Coturnix japonica: one gene and its partners. The protein of the gene in region 7 interacts with the protein of the main gene of each other region in a biochemical or structural test. Links are inferred from orthologs where the notes say so. Each region holds a gene or a part of one and is shown on either strand. Other genes may lie near its edges. The genes, in order: PAK1, IQGAP1, PAK2, CHN2, ARHGDIA, HACE1 and RAC1.

Region 1 (3,500 bases), on a different chromosome or scaffold from region 7:
GGAGAGTTAACTCAGAAAGCAAATCAGTGATTTCAGCCTTGCATTCTGAAAATAAACAGGCTCCATCCCTGCCTACAGCTATCTTTAGCAACCTGATCATCTAATGACATATTTTCTTCTATTAAAACACAATTGCGCAAAAGAACCCAGCCACTGTGACTCAAAACTTTGGTAGGAAATGGGAAGAGAGCTCCGGGGAAGGAGCAGAAAAAATAATCACCAGCTTTTCCAGCAGATTAACTTAGCCTGGATTCAGAGCTTCTTTCTTAACACAAAGGTACAGGAGAGAAGTGGAAGCATATACCAACCCTTGTCCAATCTTCTCAAAGCGCGTGTACTTCTTTTTTGGATCACCCACACTCACGATGCTTCCTACAAAAACAACAGCAACAAAGTAAATCTGAGAAGTACTTTTCCATACAACCATAACACCATGACGACTTCTGTCAGAACAAACGTATTTACCACCTTTCCATACCAGTAATAACATAGCCATTATTGATCTAACTAATAGGTTGTAAGACATGGGGAAGAAGCTAGAGCTATTGCTCTGGGCATTGCTCAGCTTCTCTATTAGTAGCCCAGCAGCAAGGGAAAGTGCAGGAGGCTTTTAGTAGCAGTTGCCATGCAACTGCAGCCATGCTTTCCTGGGTTTAGAGAGCACCCTGAGGCAAACTCCGCTCATTTTCCCTAATGTGGCTGTTCAGCTGAAAGAAAGTCTGTTATTGCATCCCTTGGAGGGTAAAGCATTTGGCTTCGTGTTCTGCAAGGTGGTGAGGGGCTGCTCAGGCTCAAGGTGGGTTTGGTATCCACAAGAAACATAACCTCAAGCTTTCTGTAGTGGAGGGAGCTCACAGAACAAGGGCAAAGAAGCACCAAGGCCAAGGATTAAGCTAGAGAAGTCACCAAAAAGAGCATCACTGGAACCCCAAGCTCCCTGAAGACAGTGATATTCATCATGTCCCCAGAGCTGGAGGGGAATCACATCCTTCAGGGCTGAGGACATCCAGGCCAACAATCCCTAGAGCTCAGGTGGGTACAAATCTCCCCTGCAACATTAGATTTTATCAGTGGTCTTTTTCAACATTCATGATTCAAGGATTCTAATAGGATCAAGGGATGCAGCGCTGCCTCTGCGTTGTTTGCAAGTTGCTCAAGCAGCCAACATACGGTGCTGCCTTTGCAGCAGCCTGGGGCTGAACCTAAACAGATGCATATTGGCAAGGAAACTGCTTGTGGTCATCATGCCAAGAAATCCAGTAGCGAGCAGAGTAAGAGCAGGCTATTTTCAGACACCAATGGCCAGCAGCCAAATCCACGGGGTTTAAGGCAGACAGAAATAAGAGGGGAATACGGCTCCTGCCTGGGGAGGAGGGTGGGAAGAGAAATCAGACTGTGTACACCCTACTGCACAATTACTGCAGCAATGCTGTCTGCCCTGAGGACACACATTGCTGGACTAATGTTCATAAACTTTCTCTTAAAGCCTAACACAGGATGCAAGTTCAGACTGTGAGAGGCAAATGTCTGCCCAAGGCAGTCACAGGACAGTGCTGCAGGGCAGCAGCGAGAGTCAGCTCTCAGTCTTGTCCTGTTTAACCCTCTCTCATCTGTAAAAGGAGGGAGTGTCTCCTACCTCCCAAAAAGCCAGGTGAGGATTCATTAATGTTTGTACTAATGCTAAGAGGTGAGGATTTACAGAAGCAAACGTATTTGCATTAGAATTGCACTTTTTTCCAGACCCTGCTTGCCCTACCTGGTCACAGAATGGCTCAAATCCTTAATGATACAAAGGTCCTGCTAACTCAGCAAGTGAAGAAGTTGTTGTTCTGAAACCAGTCTTGAAAGGGCAAGTTTTCAGATAGCAAACACTTCCAGCTTACGTGCCATCAATGCAATTTAGGCCTAATCTCAGAGGAATTAAGTACTGAAGTTATGCTCTCAGATTAAGTTTCTCTTGATTCAGGTATTAGCCTTAGCTTCATTAAATAGAAGGAAAAACTTTCAACAGAGGAGTCCAGCCTGACTGTAGGGGTACGAACACAATTTACACCATCTGACATGCAAGTCACACATGTAATTAACACGGGGTTAGTAGTTCAAAGAATTAGAAATGCTTTACTCTAATAAAAGCTGGCCCAGGCTGAGGACAGCAATCAATTGCACAGAACAGCTGTTTCAGCTGTCAAATGCTGCCATAGCACATCCCAGTAATGCCAGGCAGTAGAGGAGCACTTTAAATAACACCCAAAAACTAAAGGTAAGGACTGTCAAAGAAACTGGGACGCAACAGAAAGACAAAAATAACACCCACAAATGTGGGTTATTTACTGTGTATACATACAGTGCCAGGACACTTAATATGTCATGATATCAGGGGAGGTGAACTTGGGTTTGCAAAGATTTTCTCCGTCTTTTAGTCACAGCTGAAAGTTCTGCTCACCCCAGGTGCAACGTTTCCATATAATCACCCACACTCTATAGCTATGGAATATCAAGATGTGGAGCAGTCTCAGACTTTGTGGTTAAGTAGATGTTACATATTCAGGGCTCGTTTTGCAGAGTCTGAGGATCTGCAGCTCCCAGAGCCCTTCAGCTGGCATCACAGGTGCTCGGCTTACATCTACATTCTCCCTCTTCATCTGCCCCAATTTTGGCACACAGTCACAAGGCAAAGTTTTCAGTAAGGGATCTCAAAATAGCTGTGCCCAAACATCTCAGCTTTTAAGATACCAACACAAGAGAACATGGAATTTGATTAATTTTCTTTCCAGGAAGACATACTTAATTTTTCCAAAATCTCTTCATCTGACATTTTTGGCTTTTTCTTTTGTTTCTCCGCGTTCCTGATCAACATGTCGGGTGTCGCTGTGTTGTTTTCCGAGGGAGAAGAAATAGGAGAGGTGGCCACATCTCTGGTAGGAGGAGGAAGAGGGTCTATCACAGAGCGGGTGTATATCTGAATTTTATTGAATAAAAACACGTATTAATACAAAGCAGATGATAACTTAAACACCATTTATCTTCTCCAGACCTGAGCGTGACTGTGCTGAAGGAGGTATTGGTACTCACAGATTTGGTGTGTTCAGGTCGTGGTGCTATCACAGGGGGTGGAGCTGCATCGTCATCATCATCTTCATCTTCAGACACAGAGGGCACCGCAGGGGTCTCAGACACAGCTTTCACATTCTGCATGTGGTCACACGAATAGCAAAAATAAAAACCTAATTGCTTGTTGTAAACGTGTAACAAATGTCTGATTAAGCTCCTAACAGAGAATGTCTTGAAGGAAACACAGAAAAAAATTGTTTTGCCCAGAGAGGCTGCTGATTCCCCATCGCTGGAGGTGTTCAAGGCCAGGTTGGTTGGAGCCCTGGGCAACCCAGTCTACTACCAGATCTGAAGTACCTGCTGGTACTTGATGATCCTTGGGGTCCCTTCCAACCCAAGCCATACTATGACTGAAATTCACAGTCCTCTACACTACAGACACTCCAAAA
Region 2 (3,500 bases), on a different chromosome or scaffold from region 7:
TATTGACAAATTGGAATTATACTTTGTTCTTCTTGCACTTCCAGATGGATGGAGGCCTGTCTGAATGAGGAGCTTCCTCCCACAACAGAACTGGAAGAAGGATTGAGAAATGGTGTCTACTTGGCCAAACTCGGAAACTTTTTCTCCCCTAAAGTGGTTTCTGTGAAGAAAATTTATGATAGGGAACAGACTAGATATAAGGTGAGAGCTGCTGGTTGTAGATACTGGGTTAGGTAGATATCTCAAAATGATGATCTTAAAAGTCCCTTCCTACCCAAACCACTCTGTGATTCTATGAGAAATGTCTCCTTTGCTTGAGAATACTGGGTAAGTGAGGGCTGTGGTTTCTTAGCTTTATGTCTGAACTTACAGCTGTGAAAGAACTTGTGTTGTAAGTAAGCGATATAATTTTATACATAGAAGACTGCTAACTTTGAGTGCACTTTTTTTTCACTGTCTGTATTGTCAGATGTGATATTTCTTTTGCATGTCCTCTCATTTCTGCCTATTTTTATTTCAGGCAACTGGTCTCCATTTCCGGCACACTGATAATGTAATTCAGTGGCTAAATGCCATGGCTGAGATTGGCCTCCCTAAGGTAATATCCGTGTTGTATGTGCAAATTGGTATGTAATCTCAAAAGTAACTTCGTGTTCTGTGGGAGCATTTCCTGTTGCACTAAAACCAACAGGGTTCATATGGTTACTTTTTTGTTTTCTAGACTTGCATCTGTATAGAATTTCTATCTGAGAACTTGATGAAATCTTCCATTTTGCTGTGAGAATGATTAGGTGCATAATAGTTGCTTCTTCTGTCCCATACCACAAATCTTGCATATTGCCTATACTACGTTGTTTGTATTCTGCATTCTATTGTGCAGTATCTGTGCTGCTGTTAGATTGTGGCAGTTTTTCAGAAATCTGTGTTAAAAGAAGCAGCGCAACAGAAAACAGTAGGTTCTCAAAATTGAATTTGTTAATTCGAAATTGGTTTTGGGTATGGCTTAAATATAAGTTATTGGCAATGCTATGGGAATGGCTCGATAGCTCAGAGGAGTTTAATAAATACTGTTGCCTGAAAATACATGGACCGTGGTAGTGCTATGTGGGCACATGAAGGAAAGGGGAATGCGTTTTTATGTGCGTAGAACTTAGACAGGAAAAAAGGAGCCTTGGTTTGGGTGGAAGATTAAAAAAAAAAAAAAAAGTGTGACTTTAAGCATGGGAGACATGCTAGGGTCATAGAAGTGTGAAGAGTTTTGTTTTTGTAGATTGTTTCATTAGTGTACTGCAGAAGATTTGGTCTTAGCACAGTTAGGACACTGGATTATGTAGCGGCTGTATCATTCAGACTGCTAATTTTGTTTTATCTTCAGATATTCTACCCAGAAACCACAGATATCTATGATCGCAAGAACATGCCGCGCTGTATCTATTGTATTCATGCACTCAGGTAAGGCATGCTAGGCAGAAATCTTCAGTTCCTTCTGAAATCTGCCTGGAAAGCTGAAAGGTGAGGGAAAGAAGGCTGGGCTGAAGGGTGAATGGGGACAAATTCTCTAGCAGAGCTGTTGTACCAGACTGGAGTGAAGATCTACACTGAATGCCTTAGGTTTGAAGGGACCTTAAGGATCATTTAGTTCTGATCATCCTGCCATGGGCTGGTTGCCCCACACTATATCATGCTGCCCAGGACCCCATCCAACTTGGCCTTGAATGCCTCCAGGGATGGGCCATCTTACAACGTTCTTCAGGCAATCTTTTCCAGCATCTCATATCTTTCTACTATCCAGTATTTGTGTTTAATGTCATAAAATCATAGAATCTTTCAAGCTGGAAGGAGTCCTTTAAAGTCATACTAGTCCACCTCCCCTGCAATGAACAGGGACGTCTACAGTTAGACTGAGTTGCTGGGACCCTGGTCCAGCCTGACTGTGAGCATCTCCAAGGGCAGGGCTTCCAGCATCTCTCAGGGCAACCCATTCCAGTTAAAAGTGAGTTTCATCTGAGGCACGGTTGTTCATTTTTTTAGAAATTTATTTTAATGCTCCCTTATGATCGGATAATTTGCTAGAGGGTACAGATCCATGAGCTGTGCTGAGCCAGCTTGAGAGGGAAGCAGACAACTTGCTTCTCTTTCCCCAGTCCCGTTTGTCTTAGCTTTGCATCAGTTCAGTTTCTCATCAAGCTTCTTTGTCAATCAGATTAATTCACTGAAATTACAGGGGAAAAAATGAATAAGTGAATGTGTTTATGTCACACTAGTAAGTCACATCACCTTATTAAGACTATTTTGACACAGCACTGATGAGGCCACACCTGAAGTAATGTGTCCAGTTCAGACTTCTCAGTGCAAGAGAGATGGAGCTGCTGAAAAGAGTCCATCAAGGCTGCTGAAATGATTCAGGGTCTGAAGCATCTTTTGTATAAGGAAAGGCTGGAGAGCTGTGTCAGTTTGGTCTGGAGAAGAGAAGGCCGTCAGGGGCAAGAAGGATCAGATCTGATCAATGTGTATAAATATTTGAAGGCATCATGTAATGAAGACTGAGCAAGGTTCTATTTGGTGGTCTCTGAGGACAAGGCAAGAGGTAATGGGCATAAACTGAGATACAGGAGGTTCCCTAAGAACATCAGGACATACTCTATTCACTATGTGGATAACCAAGCAGTGGAATAGGTTGCCCGATGAGGCTAGGAAATCCTTTCCTTTGGAACTGTTCAAAAGCTGTCTGGACACTGCCGTGGGCAACTGGCTGAAGGTGATGTTGCTTGAGCAGTGGGATTGGGCAAAAAGACCTCCAGAGGTCCCTTCCATCTTCATTCTGTGTGGACTTCAAAGTGGTGAGCAAGTCACGTGCAGCTGAGGAGGGAAGGAGAGAGGAGGATCAGCTTGTACCTTATTGGTAGCTGTGAGCTGTTACATGGGTCGGTATGCTTGAATGGTTCCTTTGATCCTTTTTATCTCCTAAATTATGATATCTTAAAATAAACAATGAGGAGAAATTACTCATTCTCATCACTTATTTTCTTTTGTAGCCTGTACCTGTTCAAATTGGGTCTGGCCCCGCAAATTCAGGATTTATATGGGAAGGTGGACTTCACAGGTAAAAATAAAAAAAGGAAATTTGTACCAATGTGTGCTACCTTTATTTCAGCTGTAGGAGATATTGTCAAGATCAATGTCAGGAGTGTTAACATAGGCTTCCTAAATGCAAATTAATTTAAATTAAAGAGTAATGGTTGTGAGCTGTTCAAGAAGTTAAAGCGGAAGGCTTATTTTGGGTAATTTTGTTCAAACCGTGACAAATTCTTAGCCAGGTCGTTGGTTCTCTGATGGTATTTTCACAAATAACAGCTCCTGAATTTTTGACTCTTGTTGAAAGATGATTTGACATCACTTTTATCCCCTTGGGAGTGGTTTCACTTTGATACTTAGTAAGCAGTTCTGGTTTCCTTTAACAGTTTAGAGTAGAGCTGTGCGTGTACACACAAGTGCCTCCA
Region 3 (4,274 bases), on a different chromosome or scaffold from region 7:
TAGCTGGCTCTCTGCAAGGGCAGTAAATTGAAAGGCTGTGTCCCATCTCAGCTTTCTTTTGGGATTCAAGATCAAGCCTTAGCAAAGGGCAAGTTAAATAGCAGCCTAGTTACCCATCCCCTGAATTGCAGCTAAAAAACCAACAAAAGCTGGTTAAGTGTGTATAACCAATTTACTTTTCCTTGTAGGAGAGTGAAGAACTGATTCTGCGTGTCCCGGTGGGGCTCACACAACACAGTGTCTTAGTGTGTGTCGTGACTCTTCTTGCCACCGTGCTCTGTTCCAGCTTGATTCTCACTGCTGTTTGCAGATATGGAGACTTCTCTCTGGTGACCTGCTTGGAATAAAGACGTGCAAAATGACTGAGCTCCAGATGTTACTGTTATTCACATCTTGGCAATGCATGAGGGTGCCCTCATGGACTGTAGTACAAAGGCAGCAGCAGTCAGGAGCAGAATGTGACTCCTATTCCTTACCCTAAACCTCAGCCTGGTCTAGCTTTGGGCTTTGGCTGGTGCTTTTCCTCACAGAGGTGTTTGTATTTCTTGAATTTAAATGAACAGACTTGACAAGTGGGTGTTAATGGTATGAAAAACATCCTTCAATCTCGTTTATGCTGCCCAGATGGGTTATGTGTGGATTTGGGAAGAGACATTCTTTGCTTACTTGTCACAGTAGAAGGCTTAAAAACCAATGGGTACAGCCCTGTAGTAAGTGGGGGGGGGGATTAGTTTCTCTTGCTTTGAACCGAAGGATTTGAGAGCTTAGAAAATCTGAAGGGAATTTCACCCTATATCTGAAGCTCAAATAACCCTTGGAAGATGAAAGCTGGTGAAAAGATACAAACTAGAAGCAAATATTTATAAGGCTCGAATTCAGCCCTCAGAGCGGTTGATAAATACAAGGAAATATGGAGAGGAAATTACTTAATGGAAAAACTGAGTTGCTCGAGATGAACAGTCGCTGTTTCCAGTCGTCAGTAGGTGGCACTGTGACCTTACAGCAGCTCAGGGGCTGCTGATGGACAAAATGCCCTTCCTTATAAGCTCAGTTAGTTAAAAGCGGCTGGTTTTCAAAGTCCATCTTCCTTCCTACGCAGCCAGGACTGTTCCCCAGCAGAATGAGCCTTTCATGGCTGTCCAGCTGTAGCTTCATGATCCCCTGGGCATCCTTTGCTTCTGGCATTCAATAGAGCTCGTCTTGTGACTGTGCCCACCACAGGTTGGCAACTGCTCTGACAGAGGGCTCTTGTTTTCCCCCGGCTGTGCTGAATGCTGCTGGCTGCTTCATCCACTACCTCAGCGGCGCCATCTGTGTGGTGGAAGGGGGCTCTTTAACCCCATGGTGTGACGGCGTTGCTCCCACTGTGTCCGCCGTTCCGAGGCCTCTTTCCCGCCCGTGGCAGCGCTTCCCGTGGTTCCCCGCTCTGCCGGGTGCTGCCGGGACCCGTAGTCCCGGTGGCGGCGCCCCGCCCTCCCGGGCTGTGGCCACGCGCGGCGGTTCCGCTTCCCCCTCCGGCTCCTGCCGCCGCCGTCTCGGTGGGTGCCGCCGCCGCCATTGCAGAGGCGCCGTGTGGCGGCCGCGCCCCAGCTGCCCCGTTCGGCCCGTCCCGGAGGCGGCCGGCGCCGCCCCAGCCCCGGTGAGTGCGCGGTCGCGGCCCGCTCCCACCTGCCGCCCTTTGTGGGCCCTCCCGGCCGGGCCTGCGGCGGGGCGGCGGCCGGGCGGCGCCTGGCGGGGCGGCCCCGAGGGTACGGAGCTGTGGGGAGGGACGGGGGGAACGGGGACGGGCGGGACGGGCCGAGCAGCCTCGGGGCCGTGAGGGGGAACGGCGGGCGGCCGAGACACCGAGAGTCGGCCCGGGGTGGTGCGGGAAGGCGGCGGGATGCGATGAGATCGTGCCGTGAGATCGTGCCGTGAGCCCTTAGCCCGGGCGGCCATCGAAAACGGGAAGCGATCCGATGTGCGCTTCCTTTCTGCTGCGGATGGAGGTGGCCCAGCGCTGCGGGGTGAGGGCTCCGCGTGTGGGCTGCTGTGACGGGCTGGGAAACTGAAAGAGAACACAGGAGCTAAAAACGTGAAGCCTTTGTGAGCTTTCAAGCGCTCACATCGACACACCTGAGGAAAAAACTCAGCGAGAAACGTTTTAGAGGAAGAAAGAGCTTTGATGTGGAGCTCGGTGCTGCTGTGCGTGAAGCCCGGACCTAAGAAGTGCTGGGTTAACATCCTCTGTGTGTGTGGAAGTGTGGCGATTAAAAACGTTGGGCTACGAAATGGACAAGGAAAGAAACGTCCGTCAGCTTCAGGCTGAGGGCTTTGAACTGTTGGTAGCACAGTGAGGTGGGGGCAGGAGGCTCATGCTGCTCCGGGTTGGGCTCAGTGCTGACCCAGTGCTCAGCCCATGGGGGGTTTGCTGCACTGACACCTGCTGCTGTGTCCTCTGGGCTGGTGCTGCAGTGTGTGGGGGAATGCTTTGACCATGTATGGCGGGTCTCATCTTGGGCATCTTTTAAAATGTGGCCCTTTAAAACCACCATTGTGCTTATTTCATTGGAGCCTTTCAGTTAGGTTTAAAAGAGAAAAATCTTCAAGCCCGTTTGGTTTCTGACTGATCCTAGGAGAAGTGGTAAGGGTATCCATGCTTCTGTTCTGTCTTTGCGCTGATAGGAGAGCTGCAGGGATCGGGAAGAAGGTCAAAGTGTTTTATTACCAAGACTCCTCCTGCTTTAGCGTTCCTGTATCAGTCTTGTACGTTTCACCTTTAATCTGTTTTCTGCATTAGGAGGTTTCTGAGGCGCTAAGAGCTCCGTGAGACTTCTGTGCCAGCGTTTCCTGCAGCAGCTCCCCTTACTGACGTGCCTGTGTAGCCACAACAGAGCAAAAGTTACTTTGCTTTGAAAACAGGGTACTCGGGGAGATGCTGCTTGAACTGGCTGGGCCTGGTGGTAAACGTGAGCAGCATTAAGGCTCTGGGGGCCGGCATGTGGGATATAGGAGGGAAGCTCTAAAGGTGAGTTGACTTAGCGAGGTTTTGGGGGTAGAAGGTAGTGATGGAGAGCTTCTACAGGTGATGTTTTATATGATCAGCTGAGCACCTGCACACCAGGCTGGGTCTCAGAAAGGATGAAGTCCTCTTCATGCAGCTCCTGGCCCAGGGCTGGATTGATTCTGCATCCCAGCAAGGTCAGCCTGGGGGGAAACAGCTTTTCCTGCGAGGAAGCGTGGTTTCATGTCAATTCATGCTGTGGTCTCATGGGAAATCAGGTGCTTTATTTCTTGCATTCCGATTGACTAGTGGACAACTGCTGCTTAGAACGTGTTTTTTGATGAACACACCTTACCAGGGGTGTGTAGTGTTACTCCTAGTGAGCATGGAGAGCTTTATGTAATAGATAAGGTCACTGTTTCCTATAAGATGTAAGGGCAGCATCAGTGTTGGTGTAGTGACTGAGGATGGTAAATAGAGCAGTTGTGTTTAAGTTTATTCACAAGCATCAGTCGATGTTAAGCTCTGAAGGAGGGCATGTCTCCTGCACCTGTGGGATTGGGTGAAGGTGATGTGTTCCCTTGGCAGGTTTCTGGAAGCTCAGATATCAGAAAGCCCAGTTATTGTTCAGTCCACAATCATTAGGGCTCATCTGCTGTAGCTGGCCAGTATGGGAACTGGTAGCCCTGTCTTCATGGCAAGCTGGTCCAAAGCAGCGTGTGTGAACCAGCAGCAGGACAGCAGGCAGGTGGATTAAGAGCTGGGGATACACTGGCAAGTCTTTCCAATTCAGCTTCTACCTTTTTTCCTTGCTGCTTGTTTTGGTGCTGGTGCCAGGTATTTGTTTGACTCATCGTGTGCTCCCAGGAGTTTACAACTGTCAGCATACAAAGACTTTCCAGAGCTTCTTTCATGAGTAAAGTCAAAGCTTTGCCCGGTCCTGTGAGTTTTGTTTTGGAAATAAATGTGATGCTTTCTACTCTTAACTTATGCTCACTGTTCATTTACAGTCTTTGCAGAAGTGCTTTTATCAACAGGGTTATCTTCCAAACAAGAGAGAGAAAAGACTGTTTCTGGCAGATGCTTTCTAAGTGACTTTACTGTTGAAGCTCCTGCTTCCTGGAGAGGTTTCGGATAGGGAAAGAGCCTGGATGAATGGGAACGAGAGTATCTTTCCTCTAAGCCCATCTCCTGCAAAATGCCATCCTCTCGTCTGAGAGTTTGGATCTCACTTATGCTGAAGTCAGACCAAAGTTGGCCAGGCAGTGGTTTGCTGGAAGGGACTGAGCTG
Region 4 (3,500 bases), on a different chromosome or scaffold from region 7:
ATATGCTTGAGTATACATGGACAAAGAAATGTAACTTGTGAATAATTTTAGATGCAGCTAGGCAGTATGTGTACAGATATTGACACTGCAAAAATATTTGCATTTGGTACTTGTTAGAAAACTCTCACTATCAACTCCAAACAAATATTAGTTTGGAACAAAGAGCACGTTAACAGGACACAAACATTTCAGCAGGATGGCAATATTTGATGACGTATGGGAAAACATATTAAAAAAGTCAGTAGATATAACACTTTTTTTTCTAAAGACTTAATAGATTACCTGGTATCAATTACCCAAAATTTTACTTACCTTCTCAACGGGGGTATTTTCTTCACTTGTTACACTTGCTTTTCTTGATTCATTTTTTGTTCTGCTCAGCCTCCGGGAGACCTTCTCTCTAAGCAAAGTGGCGTATCCAATGTGTTCGTAGATGGGATTTGTCGTCATTTTGGAAATATACTCGGAAGCCTTTGTTTCTATATACAACGTTATCAAGCCATCTGTTACTAGATCATGGATTGATTCAAATCTTTTCTCCCCAACGAAGTGCTTCCCATCATAGAACAACCTGTAGTTTAAGGTCTGATTGCCAAATCTGCATATACCAGAAGAAAAGGAGGGAGAGGACAAAAAGACAGAGGGAAGAATGTCAGAGGGAACTCACACTGTCAAAACACTTGAAGAGATCATTTTGCTGACATGCTGAACTGTCTGGACTGCATATGGAACATGAACATGGTGCAAATGGATCTCTGTGGTGCTCCAGCTCAAATTAAAACCCAATGGTTTTTAATTTGACCATTACCCCATGTAGTACCCCATGGGTAGGCTACAAGCCATATGACTCAGATACACCTGAGTTGAATATAAATCCTGAAGGGCCAAGAGAAAGCCAAGAGAAAGGCACATTGTCACTGACATAACCTTATGTGGGATGTATAATTGTGTTGAGGGCTGGTCTGTCCTGAAATGTTTCTGAGGTCCTGAAACTAGAGAAATTTAACTATCACGGCCATTATTTACAGCCACTGAAGAGATGGACACTGTAAGCAAGCAACTCAAACCCAAAGGTCTGAGCCACCCTCTGGTAAGAAGTGAGCAGCTCCTAATCCTGGGAGGTGTAAACGATGTGTAAATTCATGGCAGCAGCATGTTCTGCTACAACACCAATGTGGAATTCCTCTCTCGATTAAACAATTCAATAATATCATACTGGCTTATGTGGCTCCATGTTGTACCAAATGTGCACATTCTGTACACTTTGTAGGGCATTCAAATAAAATGATGTAACTCTTATTTTTTCACCCAAGTTTTTCATACAAATTCTCAACTGTGAATCAAATTCATTTTTTGAGTCTACAAATATTATCTGGATGGACTTAGAAATCATGCAGTTGCGTCAAAGAAGGAAATTTGCCATAATCCCCATCCTCTGGTAGTTCTTTTTAGTCTTTAAATCTCTCTCCAAAACCTTAAGAAATTACATTTGTCCTTTTTCAGCTGACAAAAGTTGTTTTTAATTTACAACACTTTGCAATTGGCACGACTCACCAGCTTTCCTACTCTACCATCTGCACATCAATATGAAGTCTCAGAAGGATTTCAGCACCATTTCACAGCCACTTGGGATAAGCAGTTTTGCTACTGGCTTACTAATAGAAGGGTAAAAATGAGGATGCACGTCCCACAGAAGGAATAATGCTATAAGCACTGTAACATTTTGCCATGGAGTTTGTTTTGTCAAAATCCAGTGGAATATCTGATCCTTTTCACATTAACACAAAATACCTTTAAGACTGTCACATGGAAAGGTTTTGGATGGCACAGCTAAGACGGGAGCAGCTTTATCTTCAAGAAAAGGCACCTGTGAGGGGTAGTGAGGCAGTAGCTCAGGATTTTGCTGAATTCTGAGTTCAGGTGTACAACAGTCTTCCTACTGTGAGCATCCCATGCTTCATACTGTATTCTACAGTAAGCTTGAATTTCACTTGGGGGAAGAAAACTGACTTCTGATCTGCTGCTGGATCTTGTTATTTTTCTAGGCCTGATTCTTTAAATATCAACTCCTATTGCTGGTGTTGGTGTACACAGACTCACAGGTATCACAGAGCTCAGAGAACAACCTAGCTGAGTCTTCTGTCAGGATATTCTTCCTTTGTCCTCACCTACATACTGTAGAGTTTTCAAGTAAAAGCTTCATGTTTATCCCACTGCAACACACAATTCTAGATAGCAGAAATGCTTAAAAGAGGCAGTTCTAAAAGCGATCTCCTAGCCAAATGCTAACATACAGACATAGTTAACTGTGGTGCCGCAATAGTTCGGCTGCTAACAAGAGGGTGCAAAACCACCCCAACATCATGCAGCGTTTTACATACCCGTGGGTGCAGACATCCCTCAGGCAGGACTGACAGCGCCTCCTACACATACATCTTTACAGCTGAAATAAAACAGCATTTACCTGAGAGCAAGTGTGTAGCAGCCGGGTTGCCTCTGGCTTTCTCTTAGAATGTATGCTCCTTCTACACCAGCAAGTATCTCATCTGCTTGCTCCCGAGAAATGATCCCATGGAACCTAAGGGAAGATATTGAAGCAATTTCCAGAACAATCCAATCAGAAATGCCTCCCTGCTCTACTGAAAACCACTGAAAAGCTTCTGAAATGAGACTGCAGATGCAGCAGGACACAACACTGTGTAACATCTGTGTGAGGACCTGGTAAGTGAGAAGAGCAAACAACAGCCAAGTGTTCCCCAAAAATCTTTTTCCATAAATATACCATGTTTTTTTTACAACTTTTCTCCTCTATCAGTCAATACTTCTTTTCTGTAGAAGTTTTGTGGGGACAGAATAGAAAAAAATGGGCAATAATGGTAGTATTTTTATTTTAAATGCTGATGATTTCAAAAGAAGAGGTCATTCTTATTCCTAGTTTTCTTTAGCTTTTAATACCACTTCCTTAAGATTGTAGCTGAAATTGAGAAGAAAAATGGCAACAGTCACTCAAAATTCTTTTCTGCCCATACTGAAGTAGAAGATATTTCACATCCTCAAGAAAAACACCGTTTTCTTTATTTCAGTCAAATTCCTCATTCTGTGTAGCAGTACTTCTGTGATTCTTTTGCCATTGTATTTTATGAACGAAAGAGGCCAGGGGATGCATAATAAACCTTACAATAATCAATGCTTAGTTGTGATCCTTCCACAAGTACAAACAACATCTTTACAGCAGTTTCAGTCTTAACTCTGACACACATTTTGCTAGCTGATAAGTTTCCAAGCGTCTCCTCAAAGGTTTCGAAAGTGCCTATTTTTGCCACTGTCTCTGAAAAATGGCACCAAATTGTACTGACCTGAAGCGTTTTCTCTTTCCTGACAATACATTTGAAGTGGCATATTTCTAACACTGCCTCTGGCATGGTAGTGGAAAAGAAGAAAAACACACTGGATGTAAATGCGATTGTTGTCCTATTCTCTTAAGTTGTATTTTCACAACT
Region 5 (4,297 bases), on a different chromosome or scaffold from region 7:
CAGCACAGAGGTGAGAAGCCGCGGGAGTCGCTGTGCCAGTCAGCACGGGGAGTGAACTGGCCTGTGTAGGAAGCATGGAATCCTCCTCGTGTCCTGCAACCTTCTGAGTGCCTGTTGGGGTTAACCAGAATGCACTATAACAGTTGCTTTTTAAAAATCACAGTGTAAACAGAGGTGGAATGACCAGAAACCGTGGTGGTACAGGAGGATTTGGTGGTGGAGGTACCAGGCGAGGTAGTCGTGGTGGGAGCAGAGGGAGAGGCAGAGGGGCTGGAAGAACTTCCAAACAGCAGCTCTCTGCAGAAGAACTAGATGCACAGCTGGATGCTTACAATGCCAGGGTAAGTGCTGCTCACATGATGGTCACGGGTACCTACAGCGTCCTTTTGATAAACACTGGCAGCTGGCTGGAAAGAGAAATTGTTTTTCAGGTCATTTGACTTAAATAGCCTCCCTCTAAAGCTGAGCATTGCCCTGTTCCTTCAGCTGCCTTAGCTCTCCACATCTACTGTTACTCATGAGTAATAAATAGCCCCTTTTCCAACTTCTCCTGGCTTGTTGAAGCCTGTGTCAACCAGAATTGGCAGTAATCAAGATGTGTGATGAACGAAAGCTATGAACCAAAGCCCAAAGGGATAATAGGCTGGAAAAATGAAAAGCAAAAAGAAAAAACACATAAAATAACCAGCTTGGTGCTAAGAAAGGAAAAAAAGTCAATGATGCTGATCACCCCTAATGCAGGTGGATGAGCAGAGCAGTGCACATGGTTTCTTTCATTCAGAATGAGCTCAGATATTGTGCCACAACAAGACTAAAGTCTTAACTGAGAATCAGTTAAGAAGTGATGCAGGGACTTGGCCCAAGCACTGAGGTGCAGTTTAGGTCTGCTCAGTGTGTGCTGTGGATTGGGCTGCATCTCCGCCATTGAGGCAGCAGCATCCTGGGGTTGGCAGGCAGGGCTGGGGGGTGTCAGGGTTGGGGATGGAGCTGGGGGGTTGTGGGGCCATGGTGGGTTGTGGGGTCATGGTGGGTTATGGGGCCGTGGTGGGTTATGGGGCCATGGTGGGTTATGGGGTCATGGTGGCTGCTGACGCTCCTCTCTGTTCTCTTCCAGATGGACACCAGCTAAAGCGTTGAGCGGCGCATGGAAGGACTGCAGACATCTCATTCCATGCTGTGTGGCGGGAGGGGTGTGCGACTGTGGCTACTAATATCAAGGATGGGATTTGTTTTACTTTTATGTTTTGGAATAGGTTTTAAACTCATGTAAAGGTTTTTTTTAATTCTGAAGCCAGACCCGTTTTGTACCGAGTTATTTTTGGGATAAATTTTACTGGTTGCCTGTTGGGCCGAGGTGGCTTTTTCACCTTTGCCGTAATAAAATAGAACCGTGTCTAGAGCTCCGCCTGCTCCCTGCCGCGCGCTCCTTTCCCGCGCCCGCGCTGCGCGGCGAACGCGCGCGTACTCCCTGAGCCAATCAGAACGCAGCGTCGAGGCAGGAAGTGAGGAGCGGGACACGCCCTCGTATAACGGGAAGTGACGGGCGTGTCCCGGAAGTGCGGGGGTGCGCGGGCGGCTGGGCGGATCCCGGCGGCGTTGGACCGCGGCGCGGACGGTGAGAGCGGCCGGGACGGCGGGACCGGGCGGGGCGGGGCCAAGGGAGCGGGGCGGGGGGCGCCGGGATCCGCCATGTGCGCTGCGGCCGGGCCGGGTCCCGCGGGCTCAGCGCCACGCCAGGGTCCGGGGCGCGGCCGAGGGGGCAGCGGGCGCCGTCCGGGTGCGCGGCGGGGAGCGGAGCGAAGAGCGGCGCCTTCGTGCCTTGAGGCCGCCCCGGCCGCCGCTGTCGGACCGGAGCCGGGTGGGGACCCGCTGGCTTCAAATAGATTCTCCATAAATGGTTTCGAGCTTTGAAAGGAGGAACTTGAAGGCGACTTCCCCACGGTTGGGTTCGTTTGGCGTTAGAGCCGAGACGTCGGTGCAGCACCGGGTGCAGGATGGAGGATGGAGCGGCAGTGAGCGCTGTCCGGGCTGCGGGGCCTCATGGCCGTGCCGGAAGGATGGTGCCGTTTCCCTGCCTGGGCGGGCGCGTTGCGTGAAGCCGTGACTTCCTTCTCTTAAAGAGCTCTCGGTTGTAGCACTCAATTATCGCTGTGAGAGCTTCAGGTCCCGGCCGTAGTGCTCTATATAGTGCTCTATGGGCTCGGTTCTCTTGCAGTGGTCCCGTTCTTGTCCCAGAGATGCTGAGTGGCGGCCGCTTCCACGTGGTGCCCAGGAGACATTTGCAGCTCCTGCAGTGTGGTCGTGCTGTAGCTCTGCAGTCGTTGTACTTACAGGTGCATAGTGCTCACCGTGCAGCTTGTTTGAGTACGAGGCTGCAAGGGCTTCTTAAATCCGATAAGCAGTGGGAGCTGTCTGCTCGTTCTCGGGTGATGCTCGTGGCAGGTGATACCTGCAGGTGTTGTGCAGTGCAGGGCAGTGTCACCAGCACGGTGCACAACTGCGGATCTGGCTGCAGAGCACCTGGCAGCAGCTGCTGTGCGACCCACAGCTCCTCCCCACGCCTGGAGCTGTGACAGGGATCAGCCTTAGGGCAAGGCGGGAGATCTCCATGCTCATAAAGCAGCTCAGCAATGCTGTGGGAGCACCCAGCGCTGTGCTCCTGAGGCTAAACCTGCCTGCAGGCAGCACTGGGGGGGGGTCACTGCTCTGCTGCTGCCACGCAATTAGACCTGGCTCTGGGCAAGCTCACGTCTGGCCCCTCGAGCTGCCATCATACGGGGTGTCTGTGCTGCTTGAACTGGTTTTAGCAGCTCTTGCTTCCTGTTTCTGCAGCACAGCAGCTTATGCAGCCCTGAGATGAACCAGGGTGGTTGAACCGACCTGTGTGGGAAGTAACCTTGCAGAAAGCCACATTGGATTCCAAGTGGCTTTGCTGTGCAGCTTCATCAGCTTTCCCTTGTGCTGCAGCGAAAAAAGGAAGGGTGTGGACTGCTTGAATTGGCGCTGTGTGTGTCCGTGGCTGAGCTGAGGCCTGACGGATGTCCGAAGCCAATTAGGTCATCTGTAAAGACTCTGACCACTCTTATGTCACTGCACAAGTACCTTGGGATCGTGGCCCTGGCATGTAAAGAAATCACTGCTCATCCCTGCCTGATAACGGTGTTCTTTTCCTAGCAGTGTTTCTATCTGGCAGAAGGTGGGGCTCGTGTGTTCACTGCTGTTCGCTCCTTGGTATCGAACTAAAAATACTGAGAGAACTCAGGAGAAACTGCTGACTTCAGGAAGCGGCGCAGGCAGCTGAGTGCAGATCTGCAGATGGGAAATAATTTGGTTTCTGCTGCTTTCTGCAGGCCCCAGTAACCAGCAGAGCTTCCATTTCCAGACATTCTGGGACATCCCTGAGGCCGCAGTGCTCTCCTGTGGTTGAGTGCAGGGTGGCACAGAGGCAGCAGCTGCACTGTTCTGTGAGCCAGGTGTGTCTGCAGTCAGAGCCATGGGCTCGGGCGGTGCCGCACAGGGTGTGCAGGTGCCTTCCGGGTTTCAAAGTTGCTGAGGGGGAATTCCTTGCAGAGGCCTTGGGGTGGTGCCTGGGTGTGAGGCTCAGGGCTGAAGGTGCCATTGCTGCTGGAGGTTGGTGTTCTGGGAGGTTTCAGTCACGAGGCTGAGCCCTCTGAAGGGGTTGTGGCCTCAGGTCCCCGTTCCTCTGCCCCCACCTCTGCAGCAGCATGTGCTGGAGCCATGATCCTACAGGACGTTGGGCATGGCATGAGATGGATGCCCGACCCAGTGTTCCAGTGTGTTGAGTCCCTCAGCTCTGCTCTGCCTAGCAGTACGACAGCTCCTCCTGCATGCACCCGACCAGCTCTGTTCTACTCATTCTAGGCTGTAGGAAATGCATTGTTATAGAAGCACGGAGCAGCCTGATGCTGCTGGGAGCCTCCTTTCTCCCTGGCAGAATACTCAGGGCAGCAGCTGAGCACTGTGATGTGAGGCTGCACAATGCTGTGTGCTGGGAGCAGGGTCAGCCGGGCGCAGTGGGAGCACGATGCCATCAGAACACTGCAGCAGAGGGGCTGTGGTGCAGCCAGCTCCATGAGGCTCCTCCAGGCCTCGCTGCACATTTTTCCTGTGCTTCCTTGCAGAGCTGAGACCCAGCCTGTCTTGAGCTGCTGTTTGGAACATTGCTTGCTGTTTCTGGTAACTTTGGGTCAGTTTGAAGAGCCACTTTTCACCCATGGACTTCCATGGGGTGCTCGTGGGGGAGGGAGGGGAGGGGTGAAGTCTGGCTTGGAGCTGA
Region 6 (2,520 bases), on a different chromosome or scaffold from region 7:
TTCAACCCGGGCCATTCTATGATCACCAGATGAGAATGTATCCACCATGATGGTTTTATTAGTTAACACCTGAAATGTTAAATCTGAAGTACTAAATGAAAAGATGTATCAAAACACTTGGGTCAGTTTTTACACAGGCAGCAACTGGAGAATAAACTGTTTAATAATGCAGTACTTTTTGAACTGCAAATGAAGAAAAATAAGTAAATAAGGTGTGATAAATATGATAATGTGGTAAACTGAGATCTTATAAAGACTGGTTGGAGAAGTGAACTTGCTTTGCAAACAGAATTCTCCTGAATATCATTCAAAGAGTTTGATGTATAATGCACATAAATGTAAATGTAAGTATTATAATTAAAAGTATTTAGACAATGAGAATTTTGATACTGATGTGAGAAAGGGAGAACCTTGATAAAAGTGTAAGTTAAGAGAGATTGTGGTGTTACTAATGTGTTTTTTACTTAACTCTTCTTATGATGATCTAATTTCTGTGAGTATTCTCAGTTCCAGAGTGCCTCATGGTGGCTTTGCCCATATAATGGGAGGGAGTGGACTGCAGAATTTTACAATTGCTGCCGTGCCATATACTGCCAACCTTTTACCAACATCTAGCACGTGGTATGTCAAATACTCATCATAACACCTTAGAAATAAAAGCTTTTCCTTTTTCTTATAAATGCCAGTCAAAAATATTTTGAGTGTTTTCATTAAAAGGCCAGAAGTCCTTGACAGTTCCTGGAGTATTCTCTTGCCATCATCCAGGTGGTGGGTTTATACTCAGTGGCAGTTGTATAATTTTTATTTTTTGCTCATTTTTCTCCACTTCAATCAAGTGGAATCAATAAAGGAAGTTAAAAGTGAAGTTAATGTATTAAATTTAACTAATGTGATTAAAAAAAAAGTTTTTCTGCAATATATGTGGATGCTGCTCAATGGGATTGTAATGCAGAACTGGCTTTGTTGGATCCTTATTTACTGAATGTGACATCTTTGGAATTTTCAATTAGAAGACAAAACTTTATGCTTGCATTTCTTGTTCTGATGAGTTTTCCTTTTCTATTTTTCTGTTCTTGGTTTGTTTTTTTTCCTCTTCCCCTTTCCAGTATCAACATGCTCAAGTTACCTGAATACCCAAGTAAAGAAATCCTGAAGGACAGGCTTCTTGTGGCATTGCACTGTGGAAGCTACGGTTACACAATGGCATAATGAAGTCCAGAAAACTCATCTGACTACTGATGTGAAATTCAGTGTGGTGGAAATTGTTTTTTGGGAAGCTGTTAGTGGAATAGCAACTCAGATGCTGCAGCAAGGCTGAGTTTCAGAACTCATACAGGATCATCAGGTTTCTTTCTCCATTAGGTGTTGACAAATGAACATTGATACTGTCACACAGCTTACTTTTCTCAGTATGTTGTATTTTCATTTTTTTAAATGACAGGTCTGTATGGAAATTGGTTTACACGTTTTTCATTATTACTTCAGTCTGAATTGGGAAGTTTGTTAGAATCTCTTTCTGCTGTCTTATTTTTGATTTTCATCTAGATGGTCAAATGGCATTGGCTTATTTTGCATTCAGGTAACGTACTGCTAATGGACAGGCTTGTACTTCATGCCTTGTTGCATGTGAAAGTGCCGTTTATTTTTTCAGAGAACACCAGGGAAAGTTCAATTTGGATATTGTACAGTAAGACAGATCTGATGTATTTTCCATTCCTTTGCATAGTAACAGAAATAAAGTTTTATAACTTTTTAGTATTTTAATGTATATAGTATGTAAAGATTAGACTTATCACAGGAAAAATATCAGATGAAATTAATATCTAATTTGTATTAGAATTTACACTATATTCTACTAAATATTTAAAGTATTTGTGACTTTATAGTCAACTTACAGTTTAGAATTTGTAAATATTATTTAAGTTCTACATCCATTTGTTTGTTTGAATGCCTTTGCTCTTTCCTTGACATAAATGTATGTTTAAAAGTTATTATTAAATTTTAATATTTTTTACCGGAATCTGAATGTGACAAGTTTGTATAGTTTCATATATTTGTTTTCTTTCTAGGACTTTGTTCATCTTGTTTATACTTTTAAATCACCATGGAAATAGCTTCTGAGAAGGCATTATTAAAGTTTGTGGATAGACGTAAGCAAATGCACAGGGAAGGAACCTGAGCTTACTGAGAGGTTAACTGTCAAGGCTATAATAATTAGAATCTCACGTCAAAATTTCTATAGCACCGGGGTATGTTCCTCAAGTCATATGCAGGAATGCACACCTGAATGTTTTGTTTTGTTTTTTTAATAAATGGGGATAGAATAGATATATTTATAATGGTTTTTAAAAGACTTTATGGTAGGTCTACATTAGCATTTTGGTTCAGGATAGGATTGTGTTTTTATTTTTTAATGAATCTGATCATCCCTACTTGCCATGCTTTTACTCCAGAGAATGTGGTATGGATTATTTCCAGCTGAAACTAAACAGAAAAACACCATCCATGAATGTACCAAAT
Region 7 (4,017 bases):
ATTCCAGACAGACTCTTTTCTTACAATAGTTTTACAATGAAAACCAGCTCCAGAAGAGCAGGAAGCTGACCGTTTCTCTGTCACCCAATAATCATCATTCCAAAGCACAGAACTTCCCCCAGCGTTACACGAGATCACTTGAGATTTCATACCACTGAACAGCTGCTTTTTCAGAGTGAAAACAAAAGCTGCTAAAAATAACTCCTAGCAGTGCTCTCCACAAGTGTCAGTCAGCAGCAGCTCCTGCCCTTGTTATCCCAGCACACGTTCCTACTGCTCTGCATCTTCCACAAGCACAAGCAACAGTTGCTGTTTATTTTCCCTCTAACAATCCTCACAATGAAGAGGAAAACAAGGGCAAAACAAGATTGCACAACCAGCAAACATGCTGTGTTTTGTAGCCAAATTAGAGCTCTAAAAAGATACCAGTCAGAGCCCTAAGAACAAAAACAGCTCAGAAACCGCCTGCTTGCTTCCAGCTGTTAAGGCTGCACAGGTACATCCACAGCTGGTTTGTTCCCAGTGGATCTCCACAGGGCACATAAATCAGCGCCTAAGTTTTATGTCATATGAGCAAATCTTTAACCTGCATTGTTTTCCTGAAGTACCAGAGCTTTAGCCTTATCTAAGCCAAACATTCCGCATTTACCAGAACGCCTGTAATGTCTTCACTCGTGAAGCAACAGCAGAGAAGCACCATAAAATATTTAAAAATCCCAGCAGAAGTCAATGAACAGATAGCAAAACTGAGCAGCGGCTTCTAGATGGGATCCTAGGAGGTATGTGCTTCTAACTGCAGAGGAAGGAAAGCCCACTGAATGCCGTGTTTTGTTCACACGTACGTGTAAGACTTGGGTGGGATGACACACTTTCATTTCCAGCAGGAAATGCATTGAGAAAAGGAGTAGTTTACAAAGCAAGAGACAAAGAAGAACTGCTTTGCTGAGCGAGTCATTGAGTAACACAGCGTCCGTACTGAGCTCCTCAACCCAGCAGAGGAAACAGGCAGAACTTTCTCCCCACCCAAACTCGATGCACCACGTTGATTTCCAGCACTGCCACAGACATCAATTCACTTTAAAAATGACAATTAAAAAAAGGGATTTTAGTCACCTTTAAAGTCAACGCAACTGAAAGGTTTGCCTGCAGTCACACTGCCCACCATCCATCAATTACAGTGATGGATCCATCAGTTACAGTGCTATGACAAGTCTCTGTCAGATGATCAAGTGCTCAGTACACTCGTGTTCGGCTCAAAACCCTGCACAGTAAGAGCAGGCCGAACACATGTGCCACGTGAGCTCAGTTTATCTTTCTAACAGCTGCCAGCTCAGGGACTCCAAGCCTTGTTGAAAAATACAAAGCCACACACAGGAAACTGGAAGGTTAATCCACCACATTCAATTACAGAGACAGCAGCAAGGCCATCAGCCACACTTACAGCCTCTGTCACCCGCAGGGGTTTGCTGTGACACCGATTATGCTCGGCCTACACTGGGATTTTTGTTTCTACCGAGGGGGAAAAAAGCCCCGTGGAAGTGCACAAGCCACGCCTTGTTCAGCTGCCCTGCACTGCTGCCCCAGCGAGAGAGAAAGGAGCCTCTGGGCCAATGGCAACACATGGTGGTGAGTACTGAGAAGCAGCAACACAACATCCCCATCACAGCTGCAGTGCTTATGCTGGAATCCAACAGGTCAGCTTAGTGCTAACCTGATCCTAACAACTTGTTTCTAACTAATGTATAAGGCACATCCCATTCGGAGCGCTGTAGGCACAGCAGTGATTTACAGCTGAGTACGATGTTAATGAGTTGGGTTTCGATTGCTTTCTCAGCCTCTTGCAGGCAGGAACCTCCCCAGACGGGAGCCGTGCGAGCAGGAAAACGCTCAGCTCACACGGCGCGTATGGTTCGATTGGAGCGGAACAGATTGTTCGTAGTTGTGCAGCAAAAAGCGGATGTAGCGATGTGAGTTCGGTACTTTGTGGCTCCACACGGTACGATCCGCCCCCCGCCCTTCAGCCCATTCCCCCCGTGACGCGCTGCCTCCTCCCCGGCGCGGCCCCGCACAGCGCACAGAGCTCACAGTGCTCAGCTCACACAGCTCACACCGCACATTGCACAGCTCACAGAGCTCACAGTGCTCAGCTCACACAGCTCACAACGCACATTGCACAGCTCACAGAGCTCACAGTGCTCAGCTCCCAGTGCTCACATCCCGCAGCCCCGCTGGGCCCCGCCCGGCCGCCCGCACCCCCGCCCCGCGCAGCCGCCTCGGTCGGCACCACCCGCCGCCACGGCGCGGAGCGGGCTGGGCTCGGACTCGGGCTGGGCTCGGACTCGGGCTGGGCTCGGACTCGGGCTGTGGCCGCGTTCGGGCCCGCACCGGCCGCGCTGCTCCCGCCCCTCCCGTCGCCTCCATTTGCCGGCACTGGTCGCCGCCCGTCCCGCTCTCGCTCCCCTCCCCCGCCCGCACAAGCCCCAACCCCCCGCTCGTCCCCGCGCCGCCCCCGCCCTCGGGATCCAGCGCGGCTCGGGCTCGGGCCCGACCGAAGGGGTCGGTCCGCGGGTCCGCACTCACCCGTCGCCCACCACCACGCATTTGATGGCCTGCATCGCGGCTGCGGAGCGGGGCGGGGCGTGGAGCGCCGCTCGATAAAGCAGCCGGCGGCGGAGCGCGTCTCAGTCGCTCCGCAGCGTGTCGCGGCCGCCTCCGCCCTGAGCCTGCGAGCGGGGACGAGGCAGCGGCCACCACCCAGGGCGGGGAGAGAACTGCGGGAAACAGGAAGCGGCCGCTCCGCTCACATCCGGCCGGGCTCCGCGCTGCCGCTCCGCCTCCGGGCCCGCTCCGGCCGCCCCGCCCTCCCGGGACACGCTGCGGCGCCGCCGCCCGGTTCCTCCGCCCGTCGGGGTCGGGCCGGGCTTCCCCGCAGCGCTGCGACACGGGCCGGTCCCGGTCCCTTCTGCTTTTTGCCGTCGTTGACTCGCACGGAGCCGCACAGAATCGCGCTGTCACGCAGCGGTGCTGCCGGGCCGGGCGGTAGCTCGGTGTGCCCGCACACCGGGATGCAGAACCCCGCCATCCCGCCCTGCCCGGCTCACTGCTATCGCATGGCCACAAAGCTCACAGCAAACGCTCCTTTGGACACCATTTTGTTATCCCTGCCTTCAACGCTCCTCAGGCCGGTCTGCCACGAGGCTGTTGTGCACAAACCGATGCACGACATTGTACGAAACGTGTCAGTGTGGAATTAGGTTCGCTGTACAGATTTACCGATGTAACTCGAGTTAAGGCCAACCTGTGGCACTCACTGTGTGCCACCACGGACAGATGCCCGTTTCCCCTCAGGCCGGTCCCTCTCGCTCCATGTGCCAGCACAGAGCGCAGCCAGAAGCCTCCTTCCATCGGCAGATCCTCCTGCTGCCCTCTCTCCCCCTGCCATGCTGTGACATTCATTCAATCTGCCGGCAGGTTTTAGCCCAGATCAGTGCACAGCCAGCTTCCCCAGGTGGGGCAGCCTGGACCACGCGTACCGGGGCTGCCAGGCTGCACAGAGCCCTGGGTTTCTTTTTTACCCTAAGGAAACCATTTATTTCCTGTAACTGTTGAAGTAAAAGTTGAGCAGATCAGGCCCAATGGCCCCAGGAGCCTTTTCCTTTCCACAGTTGCTGTTATTCTCCTTGGAAGACGCTGCTGGTTGGACTGATGCACACATTCACCATTCTCCTTGTGTTGCCATCCATCAAAGGAAGCACGAGGAAGAGACCCGAGCAGTCACTGCTTGTGCTGAGTGACCATTCACTGCAATCAACAGAGGTGCCATCCCAGGGATTTATCCAGTGATTCATCTCCTATTCATTTCAGAACATGTCTAAATTATTTGGAAACTATCAAATGAAACCTCGTCGGTGGACAGAGCATCCCACAATATTTATTCTCTTTCCTTTGGAGGGCAATGATAATTCTCAGATATTTCATGTCAGTGTCTATCTCTGAAAAGAGAAAGGCTGTTTTTAT

Evidence for each region.
Region 1: the proteins of RAC1 (region 7) and PAK1 form a complex in vitro, tested with the Homo sapiens proteins (17 studies listed by BioGRID and IntAct). The link is inferred for Coturnix japonica from reciprocal best matches to the Homo sapiens genes RAC1 and PAK1.
Region 2: the proteins of RAC1 (region 7) and IQGAP1 form a complex in vitro, tested with the Homo sapiens proteins (3 studies listed by BioGRID). The link is inferred for Coturnix japonica from reciprocal best matches to the Homo sapiens genes RAC1 and IQGAP1.
Region 3: the proteins of RAC1 (region 7) and PAK2 form a complex in vitro, tested with the Homo sapiens proteins (2 studies listed by BioGRID and IntAct). The link is inferred for Coturnix japonica from reciprocal best matches to the Homo sapiens genes RAC1 and PAK2.
Region 4: the proteins of RAC1 (region 7) and CHN2 form a complex in vitro, tested with the Homo sapiens proteins (2 studies listed by BioGRID). The link is inferred for Coturnix japonica from reciprocal best matches to the Homo sapiens genes RAC1 and CHN2.
Region 5: the proteins of RAC1 (region 7) and ARHGDIA are reported together in a solved structure, tested with the Homo sapiens proteins (2 studies listed by BioGRID and IntAct, with this or other methods). The link is inferred for Coturnix japonica from reciprocal best matches to the Homo sapiens genes RAC1 and ARHGDIA.
Region 6: of the proteins of RAC1 (region 7) and HACE1, one has a biochemical effect on the other in vitro, tested with the Homo sapiens proteins (5 studies listed by BioGRID and IntAct, with this or other methods). The link is inferred for Coturnix japonica from reciprocal best matches to the Homo sapiens genes RAC1 and HACE1.

What each region holds. Positions count from the first base shown.
Region 1 is NC_029516.1:172,852,954-172,856,453, reverse strand, and holds part of PAK1 (serine/threonine-protein kinase PAK 1), read right to left. Parts: intron 3,190-3,500; coding exon 3,073-3,189; intron 2,960-3,072; coding exon 2,785-2,959; intron 373-2,784; coding exon 309-372; intron 1-308. UniProt on the Homo sapiens protein: Protein kinase involved in intracellular signaling pathways downstream of integrins and receptor-type kinases that plays an important role in cytoskeleton dynamics, in cell adhesion, migration, proliferation, apoptosis, mitosis, and in vesicle-mediated transport processes.
Region 2 is NC_029525.1:18,435,996-18,439,495, forward strand, and holds part of IQGAP1 (ras GTPase-activating-like protein IQGAP1), read left to right. Parts: intron 1-44; coding exon 45-201; intron 202-520; coding exon 521-598; intron 599-1,375; coding exon 1,376-1,452; intron 1,453-3,035; coding exon 3,036-3,103; intron 3,104-3,500. UniProt on the Homo sapiens protein: Plays a crucial role in regulating the dynamics and assembly of the actin cytoskeleton.
Region 3 is NC_029524.1:3,560,574-3,564,847, reverse strand, and holds the start of PAK2 (serine/threonine-protein kinase PAK 2), read left to right. Parts: upstream 1-1,474; 5' UTR 1,475-1,639; intron 1,640-1,874; exon of another isoform or gene 1,875-2,006; intron 2,007-4,274. Other genes in the region: PIGX (phosphatidylinositol-glycan biosynthesis class X protein), read left to right, coding at 189-347. UniProt on the Homo sapiens protein: Serine/threonine protein kinase that plays a role in a variety of different signaling pathways including cytoskeleton regulation, cell motility, cell cycle progression, apoptosis or proliferation.
Region 4 is NC_029517.1:30,877,969-30,881,468, reverse strand, and holds part of CHN2 (beta-chimaerin), read right to left. Parts: intron 2,579-3,500; coding exon 2,465-2,578; intron 599-2,464; coding exon 313-598; intron 1-312.
Region 5 is NC_029533.1:4,449,828-4,454,124, forward strand, and holds the start of ARHGDIA (rho GDP-dissociation inhibitor 1), read left to right. Parts: upstream 1-1,497; 5' UTR 1,498-1,615; intron 1,616-4,297. Other genes in the region: ALYREF (THO complex subunit 4), read left to right, coding at 1-10, 164-341, 1,115-1,129. UniProt on the Homo sapiens protein: Controls Rho proteins homeostasis. Regulates the GDP/GTP exchange reaction of the Rho proteins by inhibiting the dissociation of GDP from them, and the subsequent binding of GTP to them.
Region 6 is NC_029518.1:62,808,258-62,810,777, forward strand, and holds the end of HACE1 (E3 ubiquitin-protein ligase HACE1), read left to right. Parts: intron 1-507; coding exon 508-621; intron 622-1,106; coding exon 1,107-1,209; 3' UTR 1,210-2,020; downstream 2,021-2,520. UniProt on the Homo sapiens protein: E3 ubiquitin-protein ligase involved in Golgi membrane fusion and regulation of small GTPases. Acts as a regulator of Golgi membrane dynamics during the cell cycle: recruited to Golgi membrane by Rab proteins and regulates postmitotic Golgi membrane fusion.
Region 7 is NC_029529.1:8,463,519-8,467,535, forward strand, and holds the start of RAC1 (ras-related C3 botulinum toxin substrate 1), read right to left. Parts: upstream 2,801-4,017; 5' UTR 2,616-2,800; coding exon 2,581-2,615; intron 1-2,580. UniProt on the Homo sapiens protein: Plasma membrane-associated small GTPase which cycles between active GTP-bound and inactive GDP-bound states.